Notamacropus eugenii: one gene and its partners. The protein of the gene in region 1 interacts with the protein of each later gene in a biochemical or structural test. Links are inferred from orthologs where the notes say so. Each region holds a gene or a part of one and is shown in the gene's direction. Other genes may lie near its edges.

Region 1 (6,884 bases):
GACCCCTAGGCTTTACCATATGTCTGGTTACTCAGTTCTCCACACCTAGGCATTGCCACCTGCCCTGCAGCTGATCCTTCCTTTATGTGTCATCTCTACCAATTAGACTGTAAACTCCTCAAGAGCAGGGATTATCTAACTTTTCTATTTGTATTCCCAGTGTTCAGCATAGTACTTGAGAATATGTTCTTAATAAATGTCTTTTCATTCATTCATAAGCATGTCATTACTCAGTGGGAGTTTGAGAAAGGGGAGATCACAGGACACTTAACTTAGATCATGGGCAGTGAGTTTGTGCTAAGGCTTTGCATGATCTAATAATTTTGAATATCTGCAGCTAATGCTATAATGGCTGCTAATCCACAGCAAATCAGGAAGTTTTGTTTTTTGCAATTAAACTCTCAGGAGCTGTACAATGCTCAGTGAATGTTCATGACAGACAGCTTGGGCCAGCTGTTCACTGCTAGTATTAGCCATCACAGTAGCTGACAATATTGAAAAAAATCTGAGAAACTAAATTCCCAACTGTGGCAGACAGGGAGAATTCAGCATTGACCTCCAGAGAAAGTACTCTTGGTTCTGCCAGTGCCAAGAAATAGCTATGTAGCTATAAAGTGTAGAATCAGTCTGTCTCCTGAAAGAAACTGAAGAACACCTCTCGACTTTCCAGGGAATTGTGGAGAATCATAGTCTTATACAGAAAAGAAGTACTTCAAGGAGGAAACAAAAAAGAATCTGGAGAGGTGGGGAAGCCTAACCTGTCAGGAAGTTGGAGGGTAGAAGTGACAAGAGGTGAAAGGAAAACACATTTAAAGCTCTATTCTCACCTCTCCATCTCTCAGAATCCTTGTCTCAAGACTCAGCTCAAGGGACACTGAGTGAGCTGGTCTTAATCCCACTGAATGGTGGCCCTGCCCCCACAGCTTGACTGAATCCCACCCCCACCCCCACCCCCAGTGCTAGCTTGGCAGAACTGGAGGTCAGGTACCTGTGGAGAGGAAACTCTGCTAAGATTCTGGGCACAAAATTCCTTCCCCGCACCCAGACCAGTACACCCTTGATTGTGCCACCTTGGAGGAACTGATATCTTACAGGTCCCCAGAGTATACCCTACTCTTGACAAAGGACCCAAAAGTCAAGTAACTGGTTGGGAAAATGCCCAAAAAAGGGGAAAAAAATAAGACTATAGAAGGTTACTTTCTTGGTGAATATCTCCTCCCATCCTTTTGGATGAGGAAGAACAATGCTCACCATCAGGGAAAGACATAAAAGTCAAGGCTTCTGTATCCCAAAAATCCAAAATAAATATTCAATAGTCTCAGGCCACGGAAGAGCTCAAAAACGATTTTGAAAATCAAGTAAGAGAGGTGGAGGAAAAACTGGGAAGAGATATGAGAGAGATGGAAAAAAAGCATGAAAAGCAGGTCAACACCTTGCTAAAGGAGACCCAAAAAGATGCTGAAGAAAATAACACCTTTAAAAATAGGCTCACTCAATTGGCAAAAGAGGTTCAAAAGCCAATAAGGACAAGAATGCTTTAAAAAGCAGAATTAGCCAAATGGAAAAGGAGGTTCAAAAGCTCACTGAAGAAAACAGTTCTTTCAAAATTAGAATGGAACAGATAGAAGCTAATGACTTTATGAGAAACCGAGAAATCACAAAACAAAACCAAAAGAATGAAACAATGGAAGATAATGTGAAATATCTCATTGGAAAAACAACTGACCTGGAAAATAGATTCAGGAGAGACAGTTTAAAAATTATGGGACTGCCTGAAAGCCATGATCAAAAAAAGAGCCTAGACATCATCTTTCATGAAATTATCAAGGAAAACTGCCCCGATATTCTAGAACCAGGGGGCAAAATAAATATTGAAAAAATACATCGATCACCTCCTGAAAGAGATTGAAAAAGAGAAACTCCTAGGAACATTGTGGCCAAATTCCAGAGTTCCCAGGTCAAGGAGAAAATATTGGAAGCAGCTAGAAAGAAACAATTCAAGTACTGTGGAAATACAATCAGAATAACACAAGATCTAGCAGCTTCTACATTAAGGGATTGAAGGGCATGGAATATGATATTACAGAAGTCAGAGGGACTAGGACTAAAACCAAGAATCACCTACCCAGCAAAACTGATTATAATACTTCAGGGGAAAAAATGGTCTTTCAATGAAATAGAGGACTTTCAAGCCTTCTTGATGAAAAGACCAGAGCTGAAAAGAAAATTTGACCTTCAAACACAAGAATCAAGAGAAGCATGAAAAGGTAAACAGCAAAGAGAAGTCATAAGGGACTTACTAAAGTTGAACTATTTACATTCCTACGTGGAAAGACATGTAACTCTTGAAACTTTTTTCAATATCTGGGTAGTTGATGGGATTACACACACACACACACACACACACACACACACACACACACACAGAGAGAGAGAGACAGACAGAGAGCACAGGGTAAATTGAATAGGATGGGATCATATCTTTAAAAAATGAAATTAAGGGGTGAGAAAAATATATTGGGAGGAGAAAGGGAGAAATGGAATGGGGCAAATTATCTCTCATAAAAGAGGCAAGTAAAAGACTTTTCAGTGGAGGGAAAAAGAGGGGAGGTGAAAGAAAAAACATGAAGCTTACTCTCATCACATTTGACTAAAGGAAGGAATAAAATGCACACTCATTTTGGTATGAAAACCTATCTTACAATACAGGAAAGTGGGGGAGAAGGGGATAAGCAGGGTGGGGTGGATGATGGAAGGGAAGGCAGTGAGAGGAGAAAGCAATTTGAAGTCAACACTCTTGGGGAGGGACAGGATCAAAAAAGAGAATAGAAGCAATGGGGGGGCAGGATAGGATGGAGGGAAATATGGTTACACAAGACTATTATGGAAGTCATTTGCAAAACTACCCAGATATGGCCTATATTGAATTGCCTGCCTTCCCCAAGGGAATGAGTGGGGAGGGAGGGATGGGGAAAAGTTGGAATTCAAAGTTTTAGAAACAACTGTTGAGTATTGTTCTTGCAACTAGGAAATAGAAATACAGGTAATGGGGTACAGAAAATTATCTTGCCCTACAGGACAAAAGAGAAGATGGGGATAAGGGAAGGGAGGGATGTTAGAAGAGAGGGCAGATTGGTGATAGGGGCAATTAGAATGCTCAGCGTTTTGTGGTGGGAAGAAGGGAGAAATAGGGAGAAAATTTGGAACCCAAAGTTTTGTGGAAATGAATACTGAAAAGTTAGAGAAATTAAAATTAAAAAAAAAAAAGACTCAGCTCAAGTGCTTCCTCTTTCATGAAATCTTCCCTGATCCTTCTCTTTGAGTGCAAGGACTGAGGACTGACCCTCTTCTGAGTATAAAAGATCTCATAACAATTATCTTGTCATGGGCCTTTTTGGCAGCCTGATGAACCCTTCTCAGAGAAACGTCTTCAAATGTTAAAAAAATAAAAATAAAAAATAAAATAGATAAGGCACAAAGGAAATCAATTATATTGAAATAGGATTATCAAAACATGGAAGAAAAAACAGCTGAGTTGGCAGACTCCAGGTTCAGAACCGTTGATATTAAGTACTTACTACCTGCCAGGTATTGTACACTGATGATTTTTTTTTTATTAAAGGCTTAAACAGGCTACTCCTAACCCCCTTATTTTACAGAGGGGGGGGCAGTTTTTGTCTTATTAAGCCTATAATAGGTGATTAATAAATTCTTGTCAGATTTGAAATGCCTTCTAAGGATTTTTACACCCCATGCTTGTTGAGTGAGACAAATCTAAGTTTCTTTTCTTCAAGGTTAGTTGCAGTTTCGATTTTCTGTTTCCCTAACGAGCTTCCCTCCCAGCTCACAGCAACGTCTGCTATCAGCTGATTTACTGGAACCATCCTCTTGCTCTGTTCTGGGCGGTTCGACCCTTCCGATCCCCGTCCCTCCCCTGACAGCTGGGTGAACTCCCTGTTTCACTCTTTGCCGTCCCCCAGATTCGTGGGACGCCTCTCCCTTTGCCCGTAGAGCTGCCTCGGATGCTAAAAAGGAGACAATAACATGACCGAAGAAGAGAAGAGAAACCTGGAGTTTTTCGCAAACCACATAAAGAACATATTAGACCCCACCCATGTTTTGGACTACATGACTGACTGGTTCTCGCAAGGTGAGATGCTGCCCCTTCCCGCAGGTTGGCTGTGCCCTCCATCTGCAGTGAATCAACCTTTGCCCAGCTCGGACCTTTAGGTTGTTTTGATACTAACCCGATCCTTTAAGCCTTAACAGCCCGTTCTGCCACGCAGATCTGCAAGCCTGCAGCATTTAGGGTTAGGGTTAGGGGCAGGTGGTTTCCGGGGACATCTGGAGGTGAGGTTTATTCCCTGATTTTAGTTTGTTGAAGTTACTACTTCGAGTTACACTACTTGTGTTGAAGGGCCGGGGTAAAAGGAGGGAGGTCGAGGGAATAGCGGTAGAGACCATCTGGTCCAGACTTTCACTTTTAAAGTTGTGAAAAGTGTCCAGAGAAATAAAAAGAAGCTCCTCAGATTGCACAGCTTGCTTGTGGCCAATCTAAATTATAAATTCGTTAGTGTGTTTCCAAATTTACTGTAAATTTTATAGGCAACTTTTCCCCCTTGATGCATTTTTAATAACGGTTTAATAATAATGATAGTGATTGATTGTCACAGTTCCTTTCATTTCATTTCTCTGATGGCATGGTCCTCGGCAACAAAGGACAAACACAATCCTGTGAGTGGGTATAGCTGGCTGAATGGGAACCCAGTTAGCTGGGTAACTTGAGCTCCTCCTCTCCTGTCTGCCTCCTCCTCCCCTTCCTTCTCCTCTCCAAAGGTAAATTTGGATGGTCAAAACATTCCCAGTTGACTTGGGTTTTACTGGCTAGTTTCGTTCCCCTTCCCTTCCCTCCCCTTCCTTTCGCTATCCTGTCTGAAACCTTAAACCTACTGCACTCTGAAGCTGCCAATGGGCCCCTGCCTAAGGGCTCTTCTGGACCTTCTTAGCTTTACGGTGATTATCAATAGTAACTGTTGCTGTTTCCCTCCCAGCCTGAAGTCTTTCTTTTTCTTGGCCTCATTAAAGGGCCATGCCCTGGCTTCTTCTTAAACAGGCCTATGCAATGAATGGGCATTTCCTCACCCTAAGTGATTACTTGCAAAGACCTTGGCCTAAGGGGCCCAAGGTCTCCCAGTGCATCCTGGGTCAGCTGCTCATCCTGATGAATATCTGGTCACTGGATTCAGGTGGCTCTGGAGGAGAAGTGAGGCTGGTGATCTTCACAGCCCTCCCTCACTGAAAACAAAGTCAAGTGCAAGTCATATCATCATTTCTCTGATGTCATGGTCTTTTCCCCCAACATAGGACAAACAAATCCTTTGAGGGAAGTAATGCAAATTCCACCTAAGGAGAAACTGAGGTTCAGAATTTAAAGTGACTTATTCACAATCATACAGCTTATAAAGCTGGGACTGGGCCCAGCAGTCAACCAGTCAATGAATATTTATTAAACACCTCTTAAGAACCAGGCACTATGCTAAGTGGTTGGAGGTGGATGGGAGGGCTGGGGAGAAGTGGGCAAGAATTCAAAGAAAGCTAAAAAGAGAGCCCCTGTCCTCAAGAAGATTACAATCTAATAGGGGAGACAACATGTGAATAACTACAGAGGACGAAGTTATATACAGGATAAATAGAAAATAGTCAACCCAGGGTCCTTCTGACTTTAAATCCAGTGTTCTCATTCTGCTATATCATACTGCATCTCATGTCTAATAGAAATTCTTTTCTGTCTTTTGATCCACATTTCCTGGTTGATATACCACCTGTTTGCCTTATGTGTGTTCATACTTCATTGCCAAAGATCATGCCATCAGAGAAATGATGACATGAGTTGCACTTGACTTTGCTTTGAGTGAGGGAGGGCTGTGCAAGTCACCAGCCTCACTTCTCCAGAGCCATCTGAATCCAGTGACCAGATATTCATCAGGATGATTGGAGATGAGCCAGGATGAGACAACTGGGGTTAAGTGACTTGCCCAAGGTCACACAGTAAGTGTCAAGTGTCTGAGGTGAGATTTGAACTTAGGTCCTCCTGACTCCTGCCCTGGTGCTCTATCCACTGAACCACCTAGCTGCCCCACCTGCCTTATAGTTGAATATTCATTGACAATAGCTGCGTAGGCTAGGAGGCCAAGGCAGTATTTGACTCAGTAAGTGGAGGGAATTCAAACACAAAGGTAATCAGGGACCATTCAAGGTGCCTGTGTTAAGTAGTTGAGTAGCTGGGCTAGAGGGCAGGAAAAAGGAAGACATATGATTGTAGGGAGAAGGCAGCTGTCATATCATGGTAATTCTTAAAAGCAAAATGACATGAAGAGAACATTTTATTTGAAGTCAGAGTTTGAATTCTGATTCACCATCTCTTTCACTACAGCAGCTCTTCCAAACCTTTTTTAGCACTCATCCCACCTCCCGTGATTGTAGCCTTGGATAGTGCCAATTGCTCTGTTATCCGAGCCACTCTCTTCTTTAGGTTTCTTCTACACTGCCCTCATCTGGTTCTCCTACTTTTCAGACCACTGCTTTCTAGACTGTTTTGTTACAACATTCTCTAAGTCATACTTACTGTGTTCTGTTCTGTGTACTCTTCTCTCTCTTAACTGTCTGTCTGGGTGATCTCATTAATTCTAATGGGTTATTCTCAGACCTATTTATCCAGCCCTAATTTTTTCCTCACCTCCAATCTCATCACCAAATGCTCATTGTACTTACTGAACCAGATAACCTGTAGATATCTCAAACTCAAAATATCCAAAATATCTTTCTGCCTCTCTTCCCAAGCCCTGTGATAGTCTAAGGCACTAAAATACTCCTAGTAGCCCAAG
Region 2 (7,858 bases), on another chromosome or scaffold:
TCCTTTTCTCTTTCTCCGTCCCTCCATTTCTTTTTCTCTTTCCTCTCTTTTTCTTTCTCTCTGTTTCTCTCCACCTCTCTTCCTCTCTTTTTTCTTCTCTCTCCCTATCTCCCCTTATTTCCATCTCTCTTTCGCTCTTTCTGCCTTTACAGCTTTTTCCCTTTCCCCTCTCCCTCCCTTTCTTTCTCTCTTTCCTCTTTTCTTTTTTTCTTTCTCTCCCCACTCTCTCAATTTCTCTCTTTCTCTCTCTCTGTTTCTCTCTTCTCCCTTTCTCTTTCCTTCTGTCTCACTAGTGGTAGTTCTACTTTGCCACAGTCATTTCTATATACAAGATCCCCATTATTCTCTCTTTTCCTTCTGTTGCAGCAACAGCAGCCACTGGACAGAGGTGACAAGGACTTCGCTGACTTGCTCAATTCTCACCATGTTTAACTTTGACTTTGACCTGTCAGGTGGTCACTTCAGGAAGGAGAAGTTCACTTTTGGGGCATAACCTCTGTCTGTAGCAGGAAGGACTAGAAGAAGACAAACTGTGGTCAGTGGTTTTCTTGTCTCAGGCTTTGCTCTAGATGGAAATCAGACAAGACAAAAGGCAAGACAGCAGTTAAACCCAATTCATGCGCAAGTCAAGACATCACCTTTGTGGTCTTCTCAAATGAAGGATGAACAGCTATAACAGATGAAAATTTGCTCTGCCTCCCAATACTTCCCCTTGGGTGTTTCCTCACCATTCTTTCCCTTGGTCTCTGTAAATCTTGATGGTGACTGAGTAGATTTCTTCCCTTTACCAGTTAAGTGGCAGAGACTCTAAGGACAATAAGAACATAAGTAATGCCAGAATCCAATCCCGCAATGATTGCCACATCTAAGAAGCAGGAAACTAGCTGAAAACAGCACACCATCCCCCCACTCCCCACCTTGCAGGGCTACAAACTCTTTCCTTGATGCCTGAACCTCTGGGGCTTATGTTTCTTCTGTCCCAGACAAAATCAGAAACCTGTCTGGTGCTCTCCTGTCCTGCTTAGAGATCTTCAGTAAACTTGAGGGATCTCTCTTGCCATCTACAGTCTTCATTATCCAGGGCAGAAGAGAGTCTCACCAGTTGAGCATTGTCTTCCTCCTTCCTCCTCCTTCTGAAAGCACATTTGTTAAGCAGATATTTGCACATAGCATTGGGCTATGGAGGATACCATACAGAATAAGTAGATAATGGGATTGTAGAATAAGTTGAGTTATAGAATAAGTTGGATACTATGCAGAAAAATTTTGAGGGCACAGCTCACTTGGTACCATGAAGGCATGGAGAACAATGATGCTAAGAGAGTGGAGTGCTTGCTGGCTGCAGAGAATCTGGACCCTGAATCCATAAAAAAATCAAGAGTAGATAACATTTAATTATATTTTGCAGGCACACTTTAAAATTGTCTCAGATCACTCAAATACATGCTAAGTGATAGCAGCAGTTGTGGGTGTCCAGGGGATTTCAAAACTGATGATATCACAGCACATCTAACATCTGCTGAAAATAGAACAGATAAAAGCATAACTAGAATGGGGAGATTGGGATTTTTCCCTAGGGCATCAAAATTTAGAGCGTGCCAGTTACACTTGAAGTTCTTCAGGAGGTGAAACCAGCTAGTCTTAGCATCTAGTTAGTAAGATTAATTAGTTAAAATGGGAAGCCACCAGATTGTGTTTTCCCCACCAGTACCCACATACATGAGGTGAGACTCTTCCCTTCTGGTGCATTATACTGATTCCTTCAGCGGGAGCTTACCCTGATCCTCCTGAGGTCTCCACCCTGGGTTTCTGATTCTCCCACATATACATAGGGTGGTGTATCCACAGAACCTTGTGTCCCAAGGTCTTTCCTCCTCCCCAACAACTGAATTTATCTTAAATAGATGGATTTAGGTTCAATTTTCTGCGGCTTCCCAAGATGCAAAAACAGCCACTTTGGACTGTGGCCGAGGTCATAGATCAAATGCACAAGCTGCCTCTAGGTGTAATGAAAACCTCACTTCACTTTACTCTTTGAAGCTAGGAGATTCTGGAAGACTAGATCACGTTCTCCAGAGGGGGGAGTGCTGCCCTCAACAAAATTTCTTACTTAGCAGCCTTCCCGTTGTAGCCTTCTTAGGTTTGGAAGTGAAGGAAGGAAGAGACTCAGAGGATGCTGGAAAATGCTTCCTTGAACAACTGAGTCAGTTTTTCATTTTCGATTTTCAGTGTCTGCCAGGGGGGTAGGGTGGGCCATGTGTGGCTCAGTGTGCAGTCTTTGGTTTTTGTTCACATAGAAAGACACAATAAATATTTATTGAACTAACTACCAGGATCCTGAGAGTTAAATAAGGCAAACTAAGTAAATGGCACCTTATTTCATCTAATGACATAATATGTCACTCTTTGCAAACCTTGTAAGGTCTCAGATTTTGAGTTGAAAGGATCCTTAGCAGCCACCTCCTCTAATTCATTATGCAGCTAAGGAAATTAAGGGACTGATCCAAGGTCTCACAGGTAATGGGGAAGAGGCTTGGGATACAAACCCAGCCTTTATGACTCCAAACCCAGCCCCCCTTTTACTGCATCACACCATCTCCTTAAAGTGGTGTATGTTAAATGTGAGCCATTATTTAATGTAACACCATGGGAAACATGGGGGAGGCTCCCAAACACTTCCATAAGCAAATACAAAAAAATTAAAAAACTCCCTTCATAACTACTCCCCCCCCCCATTTTACAGCCTTACACCTTATTCCCTGTCTCATCCTGTGCCCACCAGTGACGCTGACCTCATTGTTCTCACTCAAAGTAGCCCGTCTGTCTCTCAGCTTTGGGTATTTTGACTGACTGTATCTCCCAGGCCTAGAATACTTTTCCTTCTGACTTCCCCTCCCAGTTTCCCCAGCTTCCTGCAAGTCTCAGCTAAAATCTGACTTTCTTTTAGAAGCCTTTACTGATTTACCTTAATTCTAGTGCCTTCCCTTTGTCGATTATTTTCAATCTGTCTTGTTCATAGCTTGTTTGCACATAGTTATTTGCATGTTGTCTCCCCATGAGACTGAATTCCTTAAGAGTAGACACTGTCTTTTGCCTTTCTTTGTATCCCCAGAGTTTAGTACAGTGCCCAGCACACAGTAGTCCTTTAATAAATGCTTGGTGACTGGCTGACTGGGGCAGGGCAGGGAAGCTATCACAAACAAATTAGAGAATTCTTACCTTTATTTTAAAATATTTTCCCCCACTTGATAGTATTTTTGTCCAATTACATATAAAGATAGTTTTCAACATTTACTTTTATAAGATTTTGAGTTCCAATTTTTTTCTCCCTTCCTCCTGTCTCTCCCCTTTCACTCCTCCCCAAGACTGCAAGCAATCAATCTGAGAATTTTTAAAGCTGAAAGGAAATTTAGAGATTCTTCATATAAACCCTTAATTTGTTAGAGGAGGAAATAATAGTAATTATTTCTCTAGTTCATTAAGCCCTTCATTGGAGTGTAGGGTGACCCAGCTCATGAAGGAGAAACCAAATTAGAGAGAAACTGATCAGGGTACCCACATTGGTAAAGGGGGCTCATACCTCACAATCAGGTCACATTCTCAGCTGACCTTTCTGCTCCTCCTCTACTATGAAGTGATTGGGAGATGCTGAGGAGTTCTAGCCCACCTCCTTATTAAATGTCCATCAATTAGGGTTGAGTTTCATTTGTCAGGAAAATTCCCTGTCAGAAGGAACACATCTGAATTAAGGTGTTTCAGTTTCCCTTTCACATCTTTGATTACTCAATCATTGATCATTAACTTAATTATTGGCTGTGACCTATTTAATAAATCAATTCTTATTACCCAGAACGTTTGTCTCTCGGAATTTTTCTCACCACAAGATTGTCTACAGTGATTTTAAATAGTTAATATTCATGTATAGTCCATATAGGGAGGTAAAGTTTACTAAATTTCTTATTATTTCTCACTCATGTTTACCTTTCTATGCTTCTCTTGAGTCTTATATTTGAATGTCAGATTTTCTATTTAGCTTTTGTCTTTTCATCAGGATAGCCTTAAAGTAAATTATTCATGGTGGTAATCCTAGTTTCTTTGTCGTCCAGAATACCGCACTGCAAATCCTCCACTCCTTTATTGTGTAGCTGTTAAATGTTATGTAATCTTGACTGTGGGGATTATATGATATTTGAATTTCTTTCTGGATGCTTTGAGGATTTTTCCTTGACTTGAGACCTCTGGAATTTAGCTGTAATATTCCTGAGAATTTTTATTTTGGGATCTATTTTAGGAGGTGATCAATGGATTTTTCAGTTTCTATTTTGCATCCTGCTTCTACGATATTAGGTCAATTTTTCTTTATAATTTCTCAAAATATGGGCTGGGCTTTTTTAAATTATTGCTTTTAGGTAGTCCAATGATTATTAAATTGTCTTTCCTCAATCTATTTTCCAAGACAGTTGTTTTCCAATGAGATATTTCATATTTTCCTTTTTTTTTCATTCTTTTGACCTCATTTTATTATTTCTTAATGCCTCATGGAATCATTGGCTTCTACTTAACTTGTTCCAATTTTCAAGGAATTATTTTCTTCAGTGATGCTAGAACTTCAAGGAAGTCAGGAAAATCTAGAGATGATTATGGAGGGAATTCCAAGCATGGGGTACAAAAATTGAAAATGCCCAGAATTTGTACTTCTCTTTCATTTGACCAATTTTTCTTTTTAAGTAGTTATTTTCTTTAGTATTTTTGTCCCTCTTTTAAACAATCTATTAATTCTCTTTTCATAATTTTCTTGCATTGCCCTAATTTCTTTTCCCAATTTCCCCTCAACTTTTCTTTTTTGATTTAAAAAATAAAACTTTTTCTCTTTTTTTTTAAAAAAAAAATTCTTTAGTGCTTCTAGGAATTCTTGTTGGTTTGTATCCAATCTGCATTTTCTTTGAGGCTTTGTTTGTAGATGTTTTTCACGTTATTGACTTTTTCTAAGTTTGTGTCTTGAACTTCCCTTGTCATCATAATAGCTTTTGATCGTCAGGTTCTTTTTGTGGTTATTTGTCTGCTCATTTCTCAAGCCTATTTCTTGATTTTCAGCTTTATGTTAGAGTTGACTCTGTTCACCCATGGGAGAGGAGGGATATCACTGTCTAGACCTTCAGGACTTTTTGCCTTGCTGTTTTAACAGCTAGGTCTGGGAGTCTGTAACTTTTCTGTGCTTCCAAGGTGGTGTAATCAGGGAAGAGATGGGGTCATCTGCATTCTGCTCCTTACTCAGAAGGGCCCCTGCTCCCATTCAACCACAAGCAGTAACATTCCTCTTTTTCAATCTACAACTTCTACCAAAACTTAGGGCCCTGATCTCTCTCCGCCCTGGAACTGAAACCAGGACCCTTGCTCCCTGTGACCGTAAACATTCCTCTCCACTCTGGAACTGTGTCCCAGAACTGGGTAATAGGTGATGGAGTTGCCAAGCAGCACCCACTCCTGAGCTTAGTAGCCGTGTTTCCTCAGATCTCTTTCTGATCAGTTATCCAAGCCCCTTTTTGTCTCTGGTCAGTGAGAACTCCTGTCTCTGGGTGGGTGAGAATTGCTGAAACTGTTGCATCTGCTGCTACTGTTATTCCTGCCCATAGCCTCTACCTCTGGAAATGCTGATGTACTCAGGGCAAGGGAAACCAGGATGTATATGGAGATGAGGATGGATATAAGGGGCAGCCATTGAAAATGTTCAATGTTGGTAGATAGAATGTCCAAGAAACAGGAGGTCAGTGAGTGGATAGAAGAATATGTGGAGGTGAGAAAGGTATAAGAAAACTGGAGAGGTATGAGGGAGTCAGGTCATGAAGGACTTTAAAAACAAAACAGAGATTTTCATTTGATCCTTGAGGTAAGTGAGCGACTGGAGTTTATTGAATGGGGGAGTGCAGTGACATAGTCAGATCTGTACATTAGGAAGATCAAATTGAATTTTGCAAGCTGAATGGAGCTCATTCTTTGTCTAAGTGAGCATAAATTTACTTGTTCTCTGCATTGAGGAAGCTAGAAAAACATATAACAATAATATCCCTTTCTGATTAGCTTTGATACACTAGCTGAGAAAATCCCTTCTGATTAGAAAGAAATCTATTTCTGTGTGTGTGTGTGTGTGTGTGTGTGTGTGTGTTTGCCTCCCTCTCAGCTGCCTTTGAACAACTGAGGCACATATAGATCAATAATGCAGAGTTTAATCATGGTTTTATTTTAATGCTGGCTCTTAAAGACTGCATAAACAGAAACATGCAATAAACTTTAAAGAAACAGAGACCAGCTTTGGAATCACTACATGCTCCCCCAAGGTAGGAGAGTGGGGAATGAGATCACCATCCTGGGTGTGTCCCTTTGACACTTTCAGAAAATCAGGCTCTGACTAGACAAAAATCTTAGCCCCAGAGTCAGGTGATAATCTCAACATTGTAATTCTGGTGCTGATTCTACAGTAATTGCTTCTAATGATCTTGCTTATTTTCTCATGTCTGCTGGATCTCCAACTAGGTAATTGCCTAGTCCCCTGTCCTCTCTCTCTCTCTCTCTCTTTCTTTCTTTCTCTCTCTCTCTCTCTCTCTCTCTCTCTCTCTCTCTCTCACACACACACACACACACACACACACACACACACACACACACATTTGGTAAAAGGTTCCTTTTCTCTCTCTGATTTCATTCTTGGCAGAGGAAGCCAAGGGTGTGGAAAGTGTGGGCAGGCCCTAGGCATATGGGACAGTAGGGTACAATTATCTTGGCCCATTGCCTCCTGGCCAGTCATCCTCTGTTTCCTTCTCATACCACCTTTTGGAAAGGGGATGGACTGGGGACAAAATGGCACCAGCAATGACTTGACTCATCCATGAGGCTATGGCAGTTGGGCACAGGATTTACAGTTTCTGCTTTTTAACTTTCCTTACTATTTGATATAGTTAATAGGACGTACTGAGTTCTCTGGGAATTCAGGTTTTAGAGGCTCTGGGCTTACTCTCCTGATTCTCACCCTTAATGGGGGTCAGGTCCCCAGAACTTGATTACTACTTTCAAGAAGAACTCGCATGGGGCAGGCAATCATATGGCGATCAGGAAAAGCAATATATGGACACTCAAGGTCTATCTCAAGAACTTTGGATTTGATTGTGGGACATGGGAAACACTGGCACAGGACCACTCAGCATGGCATGCCTACATCAGAAAAGGTGCTGTGCTCTATGAGCAAAGCAGAATTGAAACAGCACAAAGAAAATGTAGGAAGTGCAGATTTGGAGTAACCACCCCAAATGTTCACACAGACTATCTGTGCCCAACTTGTGGTAGAGCATTCTGAGCTCCTGTTGGTCTGATCAGCCACAGTCGGACATACTGAAACTTCACTTTATCATGGTGATGTCATTTTGGTTCTCTGAGCATGAAGGACAACAACCAACTTCTTTCAAGAGGGGATAATGAGGTGTGTATGGGAGGGATCTCTTCTCTGATGTTATCATTCACAAGTCCCCATCAATATATCCCCAATATCAATCAGCCAGTAACCATCTCTTTAATATCATCTAACCAGTGATTAGACAACAATTCACCCATTGATTAATGAATGAATGAATGACAAATCATATGGTAAGTACCTACCATGTGTAAACCACTATGCTAAGTGCTAGATACCAATAGAAAATGGAGATAGTCCCTCATCTGTGAAGTTCACATTCTAATGGGAAGAGATGACAGATCTTGTATTGGAAATTTTGTCTTCAAATCATATAAAAATGCCTCCTGTTCATTTGGGAACAGTGGTAAAACAGATGACAATGCATCTTCTTGTCATTTCTATTGATGCAATCAT
Region 3 (7,166 bases), on another chromosome or scaffold:
AAGTTTGGGTCAAATTCATTTGGGCAGGACTTGAGTGTTGCTATTTCGGGGTCCCAGTCCCTTTAAACTTCAACAGGTAAGCTGATAAGGTTGGGAAAAAGAAAAACAAGAAAATTTGGCTTGGGGATATGCTGTAAAAGTTTTTCATGGCCTTACAAGGACTTATTTTATTTTATTTTTAGAGGCTAATCCATTTCCAAGTAAAAAATACGGTTTGACCTCAGGAGGAATAGGGAGAGTAGATGGTTTGGGAACTTTGGGACAATGAATCTCCCCTATAAAGTTCCACTGGTGAAATTCATCCATCAGAAAAATGCATGAGCAGAAAAAGAAAAGCAGACAAAAAACATTTTAGTCACTTGGCAAGAACAAGGGATGACTAGATTCAATGACATTCACAACATGGATAGATAAAGATGGATTGCCTTTTAGGCAGATGGATGAGAATACAGATCTATTGGAGTATTTGAGAGATTTAACAGTTTGTATCTTCACTGCTTTTGGTCAGAATTCTTTATTAAAAGACAAACCCTGTCAAGTTGGGGTAACATCTTAAACTAGCATTCTACTACCTACTGCGCTGACAGTTTGCCCTTTAGTAAGCAATGCCTCTTAGACATGGGATAGAGACACAAATCAATCTGAAATCAAGAGCCCAGAGGCAGAAAAGAAAGGTGGGAAGGAAAACTTGTATGAATGATGCAAAAAAGACTTCACTTGGAAGCATAACCAGGAGAACAATGTATATCATAACAATACTGTAAAGATAATCAGCTTTGAAAGACTTAGGAACTTTGATCAACACAATGAGCAACCTCAACTCTAAAGGATGAAGAAACAAGTTCTCCATGACCACACGCACGCAAGCACGCACGCACGCATGCATACACACACTGACTTTGTTCTTCTTGCCTTGTCAATGGGTGGGAGAGGGAGAAGGGAGGGGAGAATTCAGATCTTCTCTCCCAAAGATGGAAGCCAGAAGTCTTCACCAACTCTACCCCTCAGATGGGCATGAAGCATTGAGTATTCAGTCTCCACAGATGAACCCCATATAAATGGGCTTTGAGATTTGTGTTACATACATAAATAAGTATAATGCAAAATAATTTTGAAAGGGAATTGGGAAACTCAGAGAAAACTTCACAGAAGAGAAAGCACCAGAGGTACACCCTAAAGAAATACAAGGATTCTAAGAGGTAGAGGTAACAATGGTATGTGGTCCAGGTATGGTGGGAGGCAGGGCTGGATAGAGGAAGAAATGCTGGAGATGAAAGGAAAAAACAGTCCAGTTTGGCTGGGACAGAATTTGTGAAGGGGAATCATATGAAATAAGGCAGAAAAGACAGGTTTGATACAGACTGTGGAGAACCTAAAATGCCAGACCAGGAAATTGTATTTTGTCCTATAGGTGATGGAAAGCCATTGAACATATTTGGCCAGAAGTGACATCTTCAGATCTATGCTTTAGGAACATTATTTTGACAATTGTGTGGAAGATAGATTGGAGAGAGGAGAGGCTAAAAGCAGGGAGATCAATTAGGAGGCCATCATAATAGTACAAACAAAACACAATGAAGTCTTGAACTAGAGTAGTGGTCTTGTAGTTAAAGAGAAGGGGAGAGATGCAAAATATGTATCATCTGGGGGGTTTGATTAACTACAAACTCAATATACTTCAACAGTGTGATGTGGCAATCAAAAAGTCCATATGCTCTTTTTTTTTTAACTAGGTCTGTGATTTCCTCCATATGGGGAATTCCTGGCGGCCTCCACCAGTGCAGGCCTCCACCTACCCTACAACTCATTGTTTGGAGAGTTGTTGGTACACTGAGAAGTTAAAGTGACTTGAGGAAGATCATATATCTAGTGTGCATTAAGTATCATAGGAAGGACTTTAACCTGTTTTCCCAACTGACTCTGAAGCTACCTCTATCTACTACCCCAGGTGTGTGCTGGAACAGGCTCTTGAGAGTTGGAGGTTAAATTTTCAGGATGGGTTAGTTCATACTCAAATAGGAAATGGGCAAATGCTACAAATCAAAGCTAGATTTATTACTGTATTGATAGACTAGACTTAAGAAAACGAAGGAGAAAGTTATAACCATAGAGATTACACTTCAAAGTGTGCCTTTCATATTTTTCCCCCCAGAGTCAGCTGTTTAACATTGGTGAGTGCACCCCTGACTATACCACACTACCTTCCAGGGTCAGAACCTTTTTGAGAGATACTTCTTATAAAGCAAATGCCTTCAAGCAGGTTTATAATTTAAACTATTAATTAACTAATTGTAATGAGATATCTGGCTGCTTTAAAAGATACATGTTCCAGCATGTGGGATGTGGTATTATACTGTACTCTGCACTGATCACACATCATCAGGATTGTGTTCAGTTGGTTCTTGGAGACACATTTTAGGAAGGGCAGTGAAAACTGGAGATCAATCCAGAGGAGGATGGCTAGGATCAAGCAAGCAAACAAGACTCTATGAAGGAAGAAAACAAGCCTTACTCTCAAGGAGTCTACATTCTAGGGAAGTGTTAGTGGGGAGGGAACAGAAAAGAAAGTAGATCTCTAAGCTCATGGATCAAGGGAGCTCTAGGTAAGAAACTGGTGACTTTGCACAGCCCTCCCTCACTTAAATCCAATTCATTTGCATGTCCTGGCATCATCTCCCTGATGTTATGGTCCTCATGGAGAAACAGCAACAGAAGCAGCAGAGCACTGAGAAGTTGTGATTTGTTAGGGTCATTGAGACAATATGTGTCAGAAGGACTCCAAAGCCTTAGCCCATACGGACCACTGCGGCCACGTTTTTACCAATGTAGTCAAGTAATATTGAATAATATTGATGATGAAAAGGAGGAGGAAAGAGAGGAGGAGAAAAATCACTCATAAAATGGTATCTATGTGTAAGGCACTGTGCTAAGTGCTTTACAAATATGCTATTTTGATCCTCACAGCAACCTTGGGAGGTAGGTACTATCATTAAACCTACTTCACAGTTAAAGAAATTGAGGCACAGAGGTTAAATAACTTTCCAGCCTCACAGCTAGTATCTGGGACTGAGTTTGAATTCAGAACTTCCTGACTCCAGGCTTAGAGTCCTATTCCACTGTGACACTTAGCAGCCTCATGTATGTATGTGTGTGTTCTCTGGAGAAGAGAATCAGTCAATAGGTAGCTAGCTTTTATTTAATACCTATTATGTGCCAGACACTGTGCTAAATATACATATTATTTCATTTTAATTAGGCCCGATATAGGGGGAAATATCCTAACAGTTGGATTCAAAAGTAAAACAGAATGCCCTGGGAGGGGTAGATTCCCCCTTATTTGGAGGTTTCCAAATATATAGTTGTCCGTTTGATGGCTGTTTTATAGACGGGGTTCTTGTTTAGACAGACTAGGATCAATATGATTGTCCTCTTTAAATTTATCCATTACTCCTGCAGATCTGATTCAAGAAAATTTACAGAACATACAAGGGAAGGTGCTAAGTGCTGAAAATACAGCCCCTCTTCACCCCCTTCACATCAGTCCCTGCCCTCAAGTAAGGAGCACTTTACTGTGCAGTTAATGTCGTTATTAAGAACTGTATTATATATGGTTCTTATATTTTAGGCCTTATAATAAATATCTCAGTTAGTTGCAGTCTACCCTGATAGATCCCATCTAGACTCTAAATTACTAATACCTGTCATGGTTTTGAACTCCAGTTTCAGGAGTATTAGAACAATTAACTGCTAAAAATTGTTTGCCTCAACCCCCCACAGTGGTTAAGGACTGTATGCAAACACCCTGAACTTTGCTTGAATAGGGTTCCTGATGTATTGAACAGAGTAATGGCAAGTAGAAACCCGAAGGTTAAAAAAAGCTTCACATCCCTCCTTCCTCTTGGTTTGGGAGAGGAAGACCTAACAGTGGGCAGCTGCTATTCCTCTGTGCGGTTCGGGTTTCAGGTTTCAAGCCTCCTGGGAGCGGACGACACTGCAGTGCTCGCGGCTGCGGCCGCCGTCTCCTCCCCATGGTTGGGGGTAGCTGGAGGAAGAGGATAACTTCTGACTGGCGGAGTTACTGGCGAAAGTCTCGGCTTGGAAGGTTAGAAGGGGCGGGGGTTGGCTCCGGAGAGCAGGACTGTGGGGGCAGGGAGGCGGCGATCCCAGCTGGGCTGGGACTTCCTTCCTTAACCGCAGGACAACAAAACAATTGAAGCGAAGGCACCCAGCTTAGCAGCAGCTGTCCGGGCTGGAGAGGAGGCAGGCGATGGGTTCCGCGCTGAGCAGTGACAGCGGCCGAGCAGCCCCGGCTGCCAGGGCCACCCCGTCCGCCCTGCCCGGGAGGGGCGAAGTGGAGCTGCCGGTCACCTCCTTTGATTGTTCGGTCTGCCTCGAAGTGCTGCATCAGCCCGTACGGACCCGCTGCGGCCACGTGTAAGTGAGGGGGAGCGGCCCGGGGTGCGAGATCGCTGTGGCCGGTGCCCGCCGGGCCAGAAAGAAGCCAGGTGGAAGAAAGAAGGGGTCTGTCCTAGGTCAGTGGAGAGCATTAAGAGCTGTAACTTAGTAAAGCCGCGTTCTGCGATGGGGAGCTTCTGCTGGAGGTGTGGTATTGTAAAACCGGGACCCGGCGGGCCTCGGCTGCGGGAAAGTGCCTTGTCTGAAGGTGGCACAAAGATTGGGAGAAAGAGGGCGAGCCAGATCGACTACTTGCTGCGTCTCAGTCAAATCTGAGCGCTCTGAGGACGTTAGCGGGTCGGTGACCAGTCCGGTCCCGCTAGACGGTGCTCCGGGGCTAGCCAGGATGCTCGCGGTAGCTACTCAGCCCAGCCCCGGGTGCGCGCTCGGTTCTGGGTCCGCATGGAGTTGCCGGTGTCTTCTGGACCCCCCAGGGCAACCGTCTATCTAGGGCCAAGCCTAACTAGACCTTGCAAGTAGGAAGTGGCTGGCTGAGGCCAAGCGCAGTTCTCCAAGTAAACAGAGCCGGGCTGGCGCTGTGCCTCCCTGGGCCCCCGACACCCAGACGGGTCGCGTTTTGTTGGGGCTGCGCACGTGTCCTGAAACGCCCCCAGCGCTTCCTCCTGTGGCGAAAACCACTGACGGAGCAGACCCCAGCCCCCGCCGCTGTCCCCCCCTCCCTCCTGCCGAAGGTGAAGTTACCGGAGTTGTAGCGCCCGGGTGTCTCGCTTTGCTACTTTGTTAAAGTTAGGCTGCGGTTAGTTTCGAGTTTGGGAGCTGGCGTAAACAAAAGACCTCCTGCTGGGGATGAGTCTTTTTAAAGGAAACTACCAAGAGCCTGAAAGGTCAAGGTCTTCTAGCAGTAAAGAGAAAAAATATGATTAATGGGAAGTAGGGGTTAAATGGTGGGTTTTTTCAAACCACTTACTCCGACTGAGCTTTATATAAGTCAGTTGTTCTACATGATTTCTAATTCCTTAATGGGTAATCTAAATAAGTGTATATATGCATATGTAAGCATATGTGTGTATATCTATATCTATGTGTCTTATATCTTGCTTCAGTCGTTACAAAAAGCTTTACAGATATCCCCCTCTATCTTCGGTACAACCCAGGAACGGAGATGCTGTTATTATCCCCCTTTTACAGATGAGGAAGCTGAGACGAGAGGGATGGAGGTTTAGTGATTTGCCGAGGGTCACACAGTCGGTAAGCCAGCGTCACGTTTGAAGTCGGGTCGTCCTGACTCTAGGCACTGCGCCACCTAGCCGCCCAGATCGGAAATGCAGGTTAGAAGTTCTTGGCCTTTAGTAGGCTGTTTAGCGGAAAGTAGGTGGCATAGTGGATAGAGCACCCGGCGTAGAGTTCAGATTTGACTTCAAACATTTCCTAGTAGCCCTGGACAAATAACTTAATCCTGTTTCTCCTTCAGTTTCCTCATCTGCAAAATGAGCTGGAGAAGGAAATGGCGAATCACTCAAATATCTTTGCTTAAAAGAAACTTCCAAATGGGGTAATGAGTCAGACACCACCGAACAACAGGAATTAGTGGCCAGCTCACTTGGTTTGGAGCCAGAGAGTGTGACTTCAAATCCTGGCTCTATGCAACCTTGGGCAAATCACTGCATCTCAAATTCTTCATCTGTATGGTGAGGGGACCTTCTAAGGTCAATCTCTTCCAGCTCTAAACTTATGATCCCTACTGGTGCTTAGATGCACACAGCTCAGCAGTTGTGCCAAGTATATTATTTGATTCTACCATCCAAACTCCACTATCACATTCAATCAGAGAGCATTAATTTTAAGGGCCGTGCCCTGGGAACACAAAGAAGGATGAAAACATACTCTGGCCGTTTGTTTTAGCTAGAGGGGTATATGCAACCAACTGATCTTGCCACATAAAGGTCTCCAGATTGGATAGGAACTGTGGGGTGGGAGTGGGAGTGGGCTGTATTCTAGTCCAGCCCATTCCTCACAAGAATCCTCTCTTCAACTAGATGTAGCCTTTCCTTGAAAATCTAGTGAGGAAAAACCCCAATCCATTTTGGGATATCTTAACTTAGCTCAAGTCACTGTGGGTTTCTTTGCCACACCCACCCATTGCTTCAGTTATGATGGTATGAGATGTTTTTGTTTTTAATGAATCTAATCTTTTTTTAAAATAATTTACTTTTTTAGCACAAGCAATGGGTGGAGAAGAGGGGGAGAAGTGCTTACTAATTACCTAAAGATCAAGGAAGTTTTCATGGAGTAGCTGGCATTTAAATTGGGCTTAAGACTATGGATAGCAGTTTACCTTGGGAAGAGGCAAGGGGGAAAGCATTCTAACTTCAGGAAACACAGCCTGAAAAATAGATGCGAAAATGGAAAATTGGAGAAGAGTGTAGAAGAAGACAGACTGATTTAATTTGGCCTATTATTGAACTGATAATTTCTAAGCAAAGTTATGATATGATGTAGATAGAGATATGTAGAATTAAATTACTTTTTAAAGGGCATGTTCCATAGAGTATTTGATTTGTAAACACAGAAGTATTTGAAATCTCTGCTCCCTCCTCCCTCCTCCAACTTATAAAAACAGGCTGAAGAGATTCCCAGGGTTTGGCCTGTAGATATAGTAAGAATCTTTTTCACCTTTGTATATGGTGTCATGGGCATGTATTCCTGAAATACTAGAAATATTATGCTTTCAGCTTGGGGGGAGTAGGGGT
Region 4 (7,536 bases), on another chromosome or scaffold:
GGTACCTCTCTGGGACACCTGCCATCCACATTTAAACTTGCAGGTTGAGTCCTCAAGGACTTTGTAGGTCCACACTCCTAACACCATATAATTCACAAGTTCCCAGCATACATTTGCCTTTGCTTCTTCTAGTCTCTGCTAAGATCCCGCCTCCTGCAAGAAAACTTTCTCAGACCCTTTTAATGCTAGTTCCTCTAAGACTGCCTCCCATTTACACTGTATATATTTTATACATGCTTAGCAGTTTGCATGCTGTCTTCTGCAATAGATTGTAAGCTCCTTGAGCATGGACTGTTTTCAACTTTTATATTTCCACTGATTAGCCCAGTGCCTGGCACATAGTAAAGTGCTTACCAGTAGAAGGTCCAGATGCATCAATTGACATGAAAATTTTATTATAATTTTGCTTTGAAATTTTCACCCCATTTCTATTTTTATTTTTATTTCTTGCCCTATGGGAAAAAATGTGCTGTATCAAGTGACTCAGCTTGGTCCTTTAAGGTATCCTTAGATTTGGATCCTTCTTAATATATGTTTGTTGACTTGAGTCTAGTCAGTCATAGTACATAATTTGCTCAAGACAAAGGCATTTACTGAAATGATATCAGTTACAGCATTTCATAAACCTGGAGAATATTTCCTACAAATATTCAAGGTGTCAGAGGGAAGAAGAAATACCTACAGAGTTGGTAAATGAAGTACACACAAGAGGAATATGGGTCATCAAGATATATTCAAAGTGGGGATTGTAGTGGGGCTGAGGGCACCACTGATGGTTGATGTCCTCCAATTCCTTTCATTAACCTTGGTCTCTCAGGCTCTGCTAGAATCTTATTCAGTGATTGACTACTGACTCCAGCTTTGGGCTAGACTAATATCCTGGTCTATGGTACTATGATGCCTTTCTAGAACAAAATAGAGCCCAAGCCATAAGACCAGTAAGAATGTCATGTCTGGGGACTGCCATCTCTTGAATGCAATCCACTCTCTTAGCAGCTAACTCTTGATTCTTGTCCCTGACACATTTAGCTAGACTTTGCTGGACTCTCTTCTGCCCTGGACACTGGTATATGTTTCCGTTTCAAGTTGCTATTACCATAGGGAAGCATATACCTTTCTTACCCATCCACTGCCATTTTATAATAGGAGCAAGGGGAAAAGTAAAAAGCCACCTCTGAAGCTGAGCTCTTCCTCCATAGTTGTCTTTCTTCTAGACTGACATACCTGGCTAGCTTACTCTACAAATAGTTTCAAAGGTCAGGGCCAATCTTTTCAGTCCATCCCTAGATTTTGCAATGAGTATCAATTACCTTCATGCAATGACTCATGCTCTGTAATCCTACCAGGCTAACTGAGCAACTTCCTACATCCTAAAGGAGTGACCCATACTTAGAGCTATACTTAGGGATGACCCCATATAGTCACACAATTTTGCAAAGGGATTTCCTTTTAATGGAGTTTAAAATTGATTACTTTTCGAAAAAACAAATGGAGCAATGATTTTGGTCATTGTTTCATCATCCCACCTCAAAAGAGATCTCCCTCAAAGTTTGGTTGACCAATGGGGGTGTGCAGAAGCAAGAAGCATTAGGAGATTCTAACTAGGACTTCAAGTTTTGACTCAATCCCACATTATTTTCTCATTTCTTCCCTCCCACTTCCATTCCCTTATTTATTTTTTATGGTATGTATATATCATAGAGGCAGTGTGGCTTTGTGGCTAGAGAGCCAGCTTCCACTCTAAGGAAAATCTGTGTTTAAGCCCCAGCTCTGAAATATGCTAGCCACGTGACCCTGGGCAAGTCATTGTATCTCTGTGTGTTCTAGGTGACTCTTCTTTCTCTGTTTCTCTGTATCCCCAGGGTATAGCAGGTGTTTAATATATACTTCTTGATTTGACACTATAAATAGCAGAGAATGGGCTTCCTTACAATGCAGAGGGAGTTTCCTCACCAAGTGATTCTCTATGTCAGCATTCCCTTACATAGAGATAATAGGATCATGAATCCAGATGGACCTACCCCAATCCTTTCTTTTAGAAATTTAGACATTTTTTAAAGATTATTTTAGAGATATTTAGGGAACTGAGGCTCAGATTAGCAACTCAACAGGGTCAGAAAGGGTTGGAGGGGATCTGAAATCACAGCCCTCTGATGCCCAAGCTAGTGTTCTCTCCAGTGTAACATAGCTAGCTGCCTCCTATTCCATCAAGGCAGGGAAGAAGTCCTTTCTTGGATAGATTTCTGCATACATATGCCCAGGAAAAGACATGAGAAAAGGATGAAAAATGGACTGAAGCAAAGATACCCCTTTCCCAGTTTAAATGGGCTGCCTAGAAACAAAACCAGCAGTATTAGAAGTAAGGGAGAAGTCTGAACTACACAGTGAAGAGTTTTGGGTCTGGAGTCAGAGAAATTTTAATCCTGACTTTGCCACATACAACCTGTACACCATTGAGTGAATGGCTTCACCTCTCTGGTACCAAGTTTCCTCTGGGTACAATGAGGAAGCTGGATGAAGTGGTTTATTCTAAGTGCACCTCCAGTTCTAAATCACAGGCATAACCTGAGTTACTAGGGAGGAGGTTTGGGATGGCAAAAGAGTACAAGGCTGGGAAAGTCCTTGCTGGCCCAGGGTGGAAAAGACTGTCAGGGATTGGTTGGGGTCTCCAGACTCCACTTTGTAGCAATTCACAGAACAACTGAGTGAAGCCATCTCTTCCTTTCCTTAGCCTCCCATTGGGCAGATGGATCTCTGCCATTAGGGTTGTTATTTTGTGCTGAGGAGTTGTCCTAATCATTCTTCCTCTGTTGAGGTAACGGCTGGCTCAGTGAAGAGACCCCTGACCAGTGGGACATCTCGAGTCTCAGGCACGCAGTGATGAGGCGGGAGACAGAGATGTAGCAAGCTCCGTTTATTATTAGCAAGTACAAGCCTTATATACTGTTCAGCCTTTTAAGTTCCATACTTGTGGCAAGCTAGTGATACATTTACCTCCTTAAGGTACAGATACCAGTCTCACGACTGCCTTAGAAAGTCTTAATAAGTACCAGAATGTTTACTCAAGACTGAGAGAACTGGGACTATTGTGTAGGGTTCCGGAGGGCCGAACCAACAACCTTTGCTCCATTTGCACAATCAAGTGGGCTTATCAGGCCATCATGTGCTCCTGAAACCGTTGTGGACCTCTAGGGTTCCCTACATTCCTCCAACCTATGAAAGCATAGTAAAAGCCTCCCTCTTTAGCTCAAGAGAAATATTAAGGAATAATATTTCTCCAACCTAAAAGTCTTTCAGACTTTCCCTTTAAGAGAATGGGTAGAAGAAAGGTTAAAGGACTGGATTAAGAATGAGAGCCAAATTTAATTTAGGTTGAAATAAGAACCTAGCATCCCCCTGACCTGCAGTGAATGGCACTGCACCTAAGGGCAGTGTCCTCTTTTCCATTCATGATTAAGGTATAGATGGAGGCTGGGAGGGAGAGGAGGGGGAAGTAGGAAGTAATCTTTTTCAATCCTTGAAAGGAAGGGTCCAAAAAGGAAGTGAGTAGTGACTTCTGGAAAGGTAATCCTAAACTGTGCTTTAATGCATTGTGATCTTCTGCTTGTTCAAGATTTCTATAAATTCTACCCCATGTCATCTTGTGGTACAGAGATGTATCAGAGTATATGACAATATGGACAACTCTCCCTCTCTCCAAGGTGGAAATGCCTTAAAGTCCTTCATAACTTGGCTCCCTCCCGTTTCTCTAGTCTCCTGACATTCACTCCCCTGTGCATACAATTCGATCTAGTGACAAGGGCTTCCTCGATGTTGCTTGCAGGGGATGCTCCATCTCTGAAGTTCGCATTTTCATTAGTGACAGCCTCCTTGCCTGGAATGTTTTCCCTCCTCTTGCCTTCCTTAAATTCAAGCCCTACTTTCTGCAAGAAGCCTTTACCACTCCCCCTTAAGGTTAGTGCTTTCTCCTCGCGATTACCTATATGGATATAGAGAGATAGTGTATTTATCTACATACACACGCATATATTGTGGTCGTCCTTCCTTGCCAAAGAGGGCCATGGCATCAGAGACATGATGACATGACTTGCACATGACTTCGTTTTGAGTGAGGGAGGGCTGTGCAGGTCACCAGCCTCACTTCTCCTCCAGAGCCATCTGAATCCAGTGCCCAGATATTCCTCAGGATGCCTGGCGAAGACCCAGGATGCGCTGGGGGACCTTGAGCCCTTTGGGCCATACGCATGTATAGGCGGCATTAGAATATACTCTCTTCAAGAACAGAGATTGTGGGTTGTTTTGAATTTTTATTTTTCCCTTTCTGTGTATCCCTAGCGTTTAGGGACATCGTCTGACACATAGTGGGTGTTTAATAAACGTCTGTTGGATTCGCTAGAGCACGTCAATGAAACACAACTCTTTCTGGCTTGCGTGTCTCAAAGGCGGAATGTTGATATTTTCCTTCCACAACCCCCAGGGCCAGCCCGGCCCTGCAACTCCTCCCCACTCCCCACGTGATTTCCCGTAACTCTCGGGGTCCCCTCCCCTCCGGCTAGTTTCATTTCTTTCTCCCCCGAGCCCGGAGAGTTTCTTTTCTTCCTCGAAGGCGTCGGGAGCGGAGCGCGATGGCCGAGCTGGAGCCCCTGGCCGACGAGCTGACCTGTTCCATCTGCCTGGAGCTCTTCCAGGAGCCCGTTACTATCCCGTGCGGCCACAACTTCTGCTCGCCCTGCCTGGACGAGGCGTGGGGCGGCCAGAGCTCCAGCTTCTACTGCCCCCAGTGCCGCCAGTGCTTCCGGGAGAAGCCCCAGCTGAAGAAGAACACGGCGCTGTGCGCGGTGGTGAAGCAGGTGCAGCAAGCCCAGAACCTCCGGGATTCGGGGCAGCCCCTCGGTGCGTCCCGAGATGGCGAGTCCTCGGACCTGCCGTCCGCGAAGTGGGCGCAGGCGAAGGAGGACACCGCCGGCAGCGTGGCCTGCGACTACTGCTTGCGGGCTCCCGCCGCCCAGACGTGCTTCACCTGCATGGCATCCTTCTGCCAGGAGCACCTGCGGCCGCACCTGGACAACCCGGTGTTCCTGAGCCACGACCTGCAGCCGCCCGTCCCAGACCTGGCCAGTCGCAGGTGCCCCGAGCACAGCCGCCTCCGGGAATTCTTCTGCTCGCAGCACGGCGTCTGCATCTGCAGCGTCTGCCTGGTGGGGCACAAGACCTGCTCCCCGGTGGCCCTGGACGTGGCCAGGACCCAGCTGAAGGTGGGCAGAGGGGGAGCGGGGAGAGGTCCGGCGGGGGGGACGCCTGGCAGCGGTTCGGGGTTAGCCTCAGGCCCCTGCGGGATACCGGTAGCTGCGGCCCAGCTAAGTTTCAATTTCCCGGGGCCGGGATTAGTTTCTCTTTCCTCCCTTTCCTTCTCTTTCCTTCGAGCCTTCCGAGGGAAGAACCTGTAGTTCAGCCAAGAAACAGGTAGGGGGCTTGTGGATGTGGGGGTTCAAGAGAGAGGTTCGAGAATCTAGGGGCACCTATTCTCCGCCTACCTGGGCGGCAGGGGCGCTTGGGTCCCTTTTCTGTGCGAGTGTGTCAGTTTCTTGGTCTGTAGGAGGAGGCGAAGTCATTCCTGCCCGGTACCCAGACTTGTTAGGAGAAAAGGCCACAGTCCACGAGAGAGGGCTTCCTTGAGGGGGTTCAAGCCCTGCCTCCTCTATAGTGGCCGTGTCACCCTGGGCAAGTCTCCTATTCCCCTCCGTGCCCTGGGTAATTTACAGATTGCTGGGAAAATGCTATTTTGCTTTGCTAGCGGGAAATTCCTTCCCCAGAATTTTTTCAGAGAGGTCCTAGGTGGATCCGGGGTCCCTCCCTCCCTATGGTCAGTATTGCTAAATCTGGGGAACCGAAGGTCCCAAGGTTATTTTGAAATATGTGATGGGGAGTGAGAGGAGGGTCTCCTTTAGTTTCCCAGTGGCCCGGATTGAAGTGACTGCCCTAAAACCGTGAAGCTGAGATGAGAAACTTTGTTTCCTTCAGTCTTTATTGGGTAATAGATTTTAGAGAGCTGGGATTTCAGAAGGCATTTAATCCACCCTCATTATTTTACAGATGAGGGACTGAGGTCAAATGACTTGACCAGGGTGACACAGGTAGCAAATGTTTGAAGTGGGAATTGAACTCTGGTCCTCTTACTTGGAAGCCAGGGTTCTTTCTCCTATTGCTTTCAATCTTCTGGTAAAACCAGAGGATTAGCTTAGGTGATCCCTAAGGCTCCTTCCAGTTCTAACTCCTATGATCAGAAATAGAGAATCAACCAGGCTTACTGTAAATCTATGTGTCTGTCTGTCTCTCTGTGTGTCTGTCTCACACTGTCTCTGTCTCTTTGTCTTTGTCTCTCTCTACCAGGCCAAAAATGCCTCAGAACTTCTCTCTGTGGTGTTTTGTTTTGTTTTTTTGGACATTATCTGTTGTATCTTGTAGTAAAAAGCGTATGCTCCTTGACATCAGGAACGCTTCTGGTTGTTTTTCTTTGTGCCTGAACCTCCTGGGATGTAGTAGTAGGAATCTAAAGATTCTTGAATTGAACCATGATGAGGTCTTTCAAGCCCAGAGCATTTTTGTAAAGTCTTCGAACCTTATGAACTCTAGTCATCATGTACTCTCCCTTTTTTCTTTTCAAAAATATTTTTATCATTTGTTTTTTAACATTCATTTTTTAAAATGTCAAATTCTAAAATCTTTTCCTCCTTCCCCCAGCCCATCTGAAACCCATTGAGAAAGCAAGCAACAAAACCCATTATACTTGTGAAGTCATGCAAAAAGATACCTTTTCCTTTTTAATGATGAAAATTGGTTCCACCATACACATTACTTTTTCCTTAATCTGAATCTTCTTGGGGTTTTGAGGAGGTTTTTGGTGGCAGCATTTTTTTAAAATAATATTTTATTTTCCTCCCTGTAAAGACAGTTTTTAACACTCAATTCTTAAAAATTTGAGTTTCTAATTTTTTCTATCCCTTCCTCACCTCCCCCTTCCCTGAGTTGTTAAGCAATTTGGTATAGGTTATACATGTTCAGCGCTGCAAAACATATTACCATGTTAATCATATTGTGAAAGAAGACACAGACCCAAAGGAAAAAAAACCATAAAAACAATATAGAAAGTGAAAAATAGTATACTTGCATCTGCATTTGGAATCAATCAGTTTTCTCTGCAGGTGAATAACATTTTTTATCATGAGTCCTTTGGAATTGTCCTGCATCATTGTATTGCTGAAAAGAGCCAAGTCATTGATCATGACAGCTGATCATTGTACAGTATTGCTATCACTGTGTACGTGTTCTCCTGGTTCTGCTCAGTTCACTCTGCATCAGTTCATACAAGTCTTAACAGGTTTTTCTGAAATCAGCCTGCTCATCATTTTTTTATAACGCAGCAATATTCCATTTACCACAACTTGTTCAGCCATTTCTCAGTTGATGGGCCACTCCTCAATTTCCAGTCCTTTGCTACTACGAAAAAGTAGTTGCAGTTAAAATTTTTGAGTTCCA

The links.
Region 2: of the proteins of RIGI (region 1) and RNF135, one has a biochemical effect on the other in vitro, tested with the Homo sapiens proteins (6 studies listed by BioGRID, with this or other methods). The link is inferred for Notamacropus eugenii from reciprocal best matches to the Homo sapiens genes RIGI and RNF135.
Region 3: of the proteins of RIGI (region 1) and RNF125, one has a biochemical effect on the other in vitro, tested with the Homo sapiens proteins (3 studies listed by BioGRID and IntAct, with this or other methods). The link is inferred for Notamacropus eugenii from reciprocal best matches to the Homo sapiens genes RIGI and RNF125.
Region 4: of the proteins of RIGI (region 1) and E3 ubiquitin/ISG15 ligase TRIM25-like, one has a biochemical effect on the other in vitro, tested with the Homo sapiens proteins (5 studies listed by BioGRID, with this or other methods). The link is inferred for Notamacropus eugenii from reciprocal best matches to the Homo sapiens genes RIGI and TRIM25.

The regions. Positions count from the first base shown.
Region 1 is NC_092872.1:122,835,170-122,842,053, reverse strand, and holds the start of RIGI (antiviral innate immune response receptor RIG-I), read left to right. Parts: upstream 1-3,873; 5' UTR 3,874-4,044; coding exon 4,045-4,150; intron 4,151-6,884.
Region 2 is NC_092873.1:311,647,913-311,655,770, reverse strand, and holds the start of RNF135 (E3 ubiquitin-protein ligase RNF135), read left to right. Parts: upstream 1-4,854; 5' UTR 4,855-7,471; intron 7,472-7,858. Other genes in the region: ADAP2 (arf-GAP with dual PH domain-containing protein 2), read left to right, coding at 367-392.
Region 3 is NC_092875.1:258,756,261-258,763,426, forward strand, and holds the start of RNF125 (E3 ubiquitin-protein ligase RNF125), read left to right. Parts: upstream 1-4,163; 5' UTR 4,164-4,267; coding exon 4,268-4,434; intron 4,435-7,166. UniProt on the Homo sapiens protein: E3 ubiquitin-protein ligase that mediates ubiquitination and subsequent proteasomal degradation of target proteins, such as RIGI, MAVS/IPS1, IFIH1/MDA5, JAK1 and p53/TP53.
Region 4 is NC_092873.1:368,989,284-368,996,819, reverse strand, and holds the start of E3 ubiquitin/ISG15 ligase TRIM25-like, read left to right. Parts: upstream 1-4,529; 5' UTR 4,530-4,625; coding exon 4,626-5,255; intron 5,256-7,536.